Linked DNA regions of Tribolium castaneum. The protein of the gene in region 1 purifies or fractionates together with the protein of each later gene. This does not show direct contact. Links are inferred from orthologs where the notes say so. Each region holds a gene or a part of one and is shown in the gene's direction. Other genes may lie near its edges. The genes, in order: ECSIT and 140up.

Evidence for each region.
Region 2: the proteins of ECSIT (region 1) and 140up purify together in Homo sapiens (affinity purification with mass spectrometry; 3 studies listed by BioGRID and IntAct, counting the BioPlex papers as one, with this or other methods). This does not show direct contact. The link is inferred for Tribolium castaneum from reciprocal best matches to the Homo sapiens genes ECSIT and TIMMDC1.

What each region holds. Positions count from the first base shown.
Region 1 is NC_087396.1:20,767,860-20,771,423, forward strand, and holds ECSIT (evolutionarily conserved signaling intermediate in Toll pathway, mitochondrial), read left to right. Parts: upstream 1-1,657; 5' UTR 1,658-1,810; coding exon 1,811-2,926; 3' UTR 2,927-2,938; downstream 2,939-3,564. Other genes in the region: jupiter microtubule associated homolog 1, read left to right, coding at 978-1,364; G protein pathway suppressor 2, read right to left, coding at 2,953-3,341, 3,539-3,564.
Region 2 is NC_087395.1:15,888,357-15,891,630, forward strand, and holds 140up (RPII140-upstream gene protein), read left to right. Parts: upstream 1-1,466; 5' UTR 1,467-1,531; coding exon 1,532-1,701; intron 1,702-1,749; coding exon 1,750-1,915; intron 1,916-1,964; coding exon 1,965-2,053; intron 2,054-2,101; coding exon 2,102-2,235; intron 2,236-2,282; coding exon 2,283-2,512; 3' UTR 2,513-2,663; downstream 2,664-3,274. Other genes in the region: glucoside xylosyltransferase 2, read left to right, coding at 7-138, 187-379, 425-574, 624-796, 845-991; twf (twinfilin), read right to left, coding at 2,672-2,827.

The sequences.
Region 1 (3,564 bases):
AACTTCCTCCGATTTTCCCTCGCTTTCAATAGGTAAGTTAGTTTTTTGTAAATCACGCCGTATGTATTCGCTCAAAGTTGTCGATAAAAGCTTATTGATTTTTGTAGTGGTGTTCCAGTCGCTTTTGAGAAAACTATTTTCTTTGAAGACCACATCGACGCCCAGATCTGGATGATTTCTGACCACACCGCGGTAAATCGAGCGCTGACTTTTGATATCTGAAAGGAACAATTTAAACGATTTCCAGGCGCCAAATGGTAAGTACCTCCCAGAGACTTTTTTATTCGTATTTTTAAAGGCGGAACGTTTATTTCCTTGATAATGCCATTAATCTCTGCGATAAGCAAGCAGTGTATTATCACCATGATCAGACTTATGAGCGTTTCCATTACAAAATTTGGCGATGAGTAAATGTGGACGAAAATCGTGTGAGACCACAATTTCGCTGCGGACTCAACTAGCGAATTCATTTTTGAAATTTTGACAAGAAATTTTGAGATTTTTAATTAAAAAAAAAAACGTTCCGTAGCAACGCATTTAACAAATATTTTCACCGGCAATTGTTCCCATTTCTCCAATTAATTAAACGAATCGTTCAAACACCACTCCGCTTTCTGATTGGCTGACCTCTAAAAGACCGCGCGTTTGCACCAATCAGATTCACGCCCCGCCTGACCGATCCTCATTTGTTTGGATGCGTAGTACTTTCGCGCAGTTCACTTGTCTCATTTATCCGTTGGCTTGATATTTGATTTTACGACCTCCGACAAAAACGTGCATTTCCGCTTGATCATTCCTTTGTTTCACCAATTTGTTAACTGAAGATTTGTGAAAGAAAATCTTCTAGCCCGGTTTTTAACCCCCGAAATAATCGTAGTGTGTGGCTTTTGAACCAGTATAAACCGGTAAAAACTAACACCAAATAGGTAAGTAACGTTTTTTCCAATTTTGGTAGTTTTTCATTAAAACTTTCCAGAATGACTTCCACTAATATCTTCACGGGGGTGGGCGGTGGCCGTAACTCCAGCCGGGTCTTGAAGCCTCCAGGTGGAGGACATACGGACGTCCTGGGGCTTTCAGCCCCGCCTGAGAGGCCCCAAGAGAAGAAGATCAATCCGAGGAACATTTCTTCCATTACTGAGGGCACGAATGTGAACATGACTGAAGCAAAACCGGTGCAAAAGACTGAAGAAAAGCCGGTTCAGAGGGCGGAAGAAACCCCCAAAGAACCGGTGAAACAAGCCACTGAGGCCCCAAAGCCTTCCGCACCGGCCAATCAAGAAGCCCCGCCCCCGCCACAAAATAACGGCAACTCGCGCGGGCGGGTGCCCCCAGGGGGCTTCTCTTCCGGCGGTTTTTGGTAAACCATGACTTATGTGCTTATACTTGTGATGCTTTGAATTTTTATGACCACTTATTTGCGAATATGTGCAACAGTATTTATAACAATTAATAAATAGTCTCATTTTGGATAACTCGTGTTTCTTTTCCCGTGATAACACCGATAATAGAATGTTTTGTAACGGCTAGAGTCCGTTAAACCCATTCTATTTTTCAAACGGTTTTCATACGTATTGTTGGTTGTATAAATACAATTTCATAAAAACTCGTATTTTTTATTTACGTTTTAAAGGACGGTCAAAAGGGCACAATTTAACCGAAAGAATTTTACGTATTTCATTTTTAATTGTATTTTAAAATGTGGTGACAACGTAACCTCAAAATTACATAACCTATAAACCCGAAGTCTCGAATTTTATCAAACCGGTGGCAAGTATGCCAATTTTAACGATTAAATAAACGAGTTAAAATGTTCGTGACCAGGCTTGTGCCCCTGATGCGGGGCAACTTGCGCATTGTCCCAAAAGTGGGCCCCCTTGCGCGAACATTTAGCGATTCGTCCGAGCCCAAGCAACTGGTGACCTACCGCTCGTTTGAAGAAATCGAAACAAAGAACAAGAACACATACTTGGACATGATCCACATTTTCGTCAACCGAGACAGTGTCCACCGGCGGGGCCACGTTGAATTTATCTACTCTGCGCTAAAAAACATGGAAAGTTTTGGGGTCCACAAGGACCTTGAAGTGTACAAAGCCCTAATAGACGTCCTGCCGAAAGGCAAATTCATTCCGAGGAACATGTTTCAAGTCGAGTTCATGCACTACCCCAAGCAGCAGCAGTGCATTATCGACTTACTCGAACAAATGGAAGACAACGCTGTGATGCCCGACTACGACATGGAGGAGCTTTTGAAAAATATTTTCGGAAATCGGGGATTCCCCTTGCGCAAATATTGGCGGATGATGTACTGGATGCCCAAATTTAAAAACGCGTCGCCTTGGCCCATCCCGAACCCGCTCCCTGACGGCGTGTACGAGCTGGCAAAGTGCGCAATTGAGCGGATCAGCAGTGTGGACATCCAGACACAAGTTACGACGTATCAGAGTAAAGACATCGAGGATTGTGTGGACGATACGTGGATTATTAGCGCGCAAGCCCCCATCCAGAAGGACCTGTTGAAGAGACACGACGTGACGGAGCCTTTGTACGTCGAGGGGCCCTTTCGCGTCTGGCTGAAGCACCAACAAGTGACTTACTTCACCTTGCGCAAAAACGCCAAATTCGTAGCTCCAATCAAAGAGGATCTAGATGATGTCAGTGACATTAAAATCCCCTTTTTCAACATCAAGCCACCCGTGAAAAATCTGACAGTGGTACCAAGTGTCCATGAGCAAGAAGATGGTACTATTCTGGCACTATGTGCTACTGGGACCTCCAGTAAAGACTCACTAGTTTCGTGGATTCGGCATTTGGAAAAGGATAATCCGGTGTTGGCCGAAGTTCCGGTAGTTTTTACGCTTCGGAGCGGAACTAAAGAAATTGTCACAGTTGGCGATGATAGGAAACAAATTGAAAATAAATGAATTAGTTAGTTATTAATTTTTATTTCTTATTCTCTTGGAGGATAATTCATTGGAGTCCCTGGCGATTGATACAACGGCCGACTTTGAGCCGTATAAAGTGACGCGGGGGCTGATTGTTGGTATTGTTGTTGGCTCCTGACGGGGTACCCCGCTGTGATGCTCCCAGTCTTGGGCTGCGCGGGGCTCAAGGGTATGGAGCCCCCATGAATGACGTGTCCGTGCGAACTCGGTACTCTTAGAGTGTAATGTTCGGGTAATTTCTGCTCCAAGTGGTACGTTTGGGGCCGTGGGGGCTCGTAGGCGCTCCTAGAGGGTGGGGGCTCCCGCGACGAGATGGACCCCAAAGGATAATACATCGAAATATCCTGCGGAGAGACCGAATAAAACGTTGCTTGCTGACTCGGATATTGCGTCTCTGAAATTATCGACGAAATTACAACACTGAAAAGTGATAATTAAATGGAAAAAGCATGAATGGGTGGTGATAAATGAAGCCACAACTTTCTCGACTAATGAAGGAAGCTTCCCTTCACCCAGAAAAAATTAAGTGGTGCCTGAGTGAAAAGAACCTCTTCATTATGAATGAAGCTAAAGTGGTGTAGAAACACTCACTGTTCCATAAAACTGCCCTCACTAAC
Region 2 (3,274 bases), on another chromosome or scaffold:
TTTCAGTTAAGCGAATGGAAAACTTTAACAAACCATGCGTTTACGTACAAAGTTATGGCTTTGACGTTTCCTGTGAAGGACGCAGAGGAGTGGAAGAGGCTTTTTAAGCCTTGTGCAGCCCAGAGATTATTTCTACCTGTTGTCCTCTACTCAATATTTTCCACATTTTATGAAATTATTTTTTAGAATATTTTAAAAGACGTAGATTCCTTATTGTACATGGATACAGATACGTTGTTTTTGACGCCAGTCGAGAACATTTGGAGCTATTTCCACAAGATGAATTCTAGTCAGATGGCTGCGTTGGCCCCAGAACATGAGGACCCAAACGTTGGGTGGTACAACCGTTTTGCCAAACACCCATTTTACGGAAAATTGGGTACAATTGTGTGACTTTTTTGCACTTTGTAATCCCCAATTTCAGGCGTAAATTCCGGCGTGATGTTAATGAATTTGACCAGAATGAGGGCGTTCCAGTGGAGTGAGTACGTAGTCCCCATTTATAGAAAATACAAATTGAAGATAACGTGGGGCGACCAGGACATAATCAATATAATTTTCCACTACCACCCTGGTATATGACCATTTTTGGTGCGATTTTATAAAATTGTGATTCGTTTTAGGGAAATTGTATTTATATTCGTGTAGGTTTAATTTCCGACCTGACCACTGCATGTACATGAGTGTTTGTAAGCCGGCGGAAAAGTTCGGAGTGGCTGTGGTCCATGGTTCTCGCGGGTTTTTCCACTCAGAGAAACAGCCGGTTTTTCAAGCAATTTATAGAGCTTTTGAAGAGGTTGTTACTACCGATTACAGGAATCTGTAATTGAAAACGCAGTTTTAGTTCCGTCTAGGGGGTGATGTATTCAAGGATTTTTACCAACCGCTTGAAGCCTTTTTGGAACAAGTTCAGAACACGAACTGTGGCCATATTAAAGACATTTTTCTCAAAAACGTGCGACTTTACATTAACATGGAAGACACCAGTTAGTAAGCCAGAGTTTGTTAATGCAACGAAGCTGTCCATCAATGCAGGATATTTTATTTACAAGTGGAGTTTATACTTTTATAAGCTGAATAAATAATTATTGAGCCCTCCACTTGAATTTTCTGGTGATTAGATCTCTCACTGAAAGTATAAATTACATTAGCTATTTTTTTGAAGTGCGTGAATAATTTATAACATAATTTTGAAAGAAAATGAAACGTTATCGTTTTCCTAGTTCTGAAACAGCTAATAGAAATATTTGCATTTACCTGAGAAAAACTAAAAATTCTTTAAAATCTTCGTCTCCTGAATTGATCAACAATAAATAATATCCGTAGAACACAAAGTAAAAACGGTTATTAACACTATAAACGTCGTTAATCCTAAATCTTTAGCACAAAACCAAAAATAAGTTGGACCATTTTTAAATTTTGTTTAAACCAAGATTGGGATGGCGATTTTTTTAGGTTGGTGCACCTGTTTACGCCTTTTTTATGTAGGGAATTTGAAGGTTATGTAACCTAACCTATTTTTTTTTGAAAAATGTTGCGAAAAGTGTTAAAGCCCACAACGTTGTGTGCTCTTTGGCCGCTTGATTTTCTCAATGACAATGATAAGTTGAGGCAAGACACTCCCACCGAGCAAAAAGTTGATTTATCAACTTTGCCGGAAGAGACAGGTTGGGACCGTCTGAAGCGGGTTTTTGAGGCCGAGTCGGTACGAAACCATTGGGCTCCATGTAGTTAATTGTTCAATTGTAGTGACTTTGGTGAGGTCAGCAAGGAATTACTCACTGTTTTACACGTCGGGGGCATGAGTTTGTTCGTGGGGGGCATTTACGGGGGCGTTGTGCACAGTAGGGTGGCCTATGTGAATTTTATGAAGAACAACCAAGCCACGGCTTTTACTGATCATCTCGAGGCCAAGGTATGGCGGCTCTGGCTGTTTTTAAGCGAATTAATTTTGTCCAGTGCAGAAAAAATTGCAAGATGCGGTTACGAAAAGTTTCGGGAAGGGGGCCTGGATGTGGTCGTGGAGGCTTGCCTCGTTCACGATGTCTTTTACGTAAGGAAGATTGGATTGTTGTTGGTATTTTTCCTTGTTATTTATTAGGGCAATTTCAACTGGAATTTCTGTATACCGGGGGAAATCGGGAATTCTGGAATACGTTGTTGCGGGGTTATTTAGTGGTACCTTGTATAAGTGGAATATGGGTCCGAGGGGCTGGGTAGTCGGGGGCGGATTAGGTATTTTCTCAACTAGCCAAGCCTTGGTTAATTTATTTTTGATCCAGGGGCAGTGTTGGGTTTAATAGCAGGCGGTGCCACTTTAGGTTTGTTAAGTTTGACAGGGATGTCGATGGATGAGGTCAGGTACTGGCAGTACCACTGGCAACGAGAGCGGCAAAACTACACAAATAAGGGTATAGCTGAGTACCTTGCCAAGGAAGAAGATGAAGTTGTCCAGCACCACAATAAGAGAGTCGGAAATTCGGGAAAAACATTAGAAAATGTGGCCGAGTAATTGTGATAACTGTATTCATGTAACACGAAAGCGACTGATAGTTAATACTACTTAATGATTTATACAATGAGCTTCAAATACAAAAATATTTGTTTGAAAAAGCTAGTTGAGCGCATGTTAACCGAATAAATAATTTATATAAAGCATACAACCGCCGTTTCAATTGTCCACGTTTTGAGACTTTGTCATTCGTTTTGGTCCTCGGTTTGGTGGCCCTTTCGGTTTGGCAAATTTCGGACGGTGCAAATTTTTTGTTGGGTGTATCTCCTCGTACAGGAACTCTTCGGTCAACTCAGACCCTGAATCAATTTCCAACTGAAATTTTTCCGTTATCAGATGAGTAAAATACTACGAGCGGAACAACAAATTGAACATTTTCTATTCTGTTTCTACTTCGTTAATTACTTATCAACATCAAATTTTTATTAATACTGCTAAAATAATTGTTTATTCAAAAGATTTTTCTCTTCTCATAATAGATCAAGAAAACAATGGAAATTTTTAAAACTAGGGACTTTGTCACAGATCATGAAGAAAACTAAAAGCACTTCGAGTATAAACCGGATGAAGAAATAACATCTAGTAATGGTTATCGTGTTTTTTATTTTATTTGCTTTAAGTTTTTTGTTCGAAAAATAACAATTTTTCTGCAATACAACTCTGTGTTGTCAAAAACATAACAAAGAAGGCATAATAAAATTGTCAGTAAAAATAAAAGAAAAAATTAAAACTGAATAATCAGTGGGGTAGAAAATACCAACG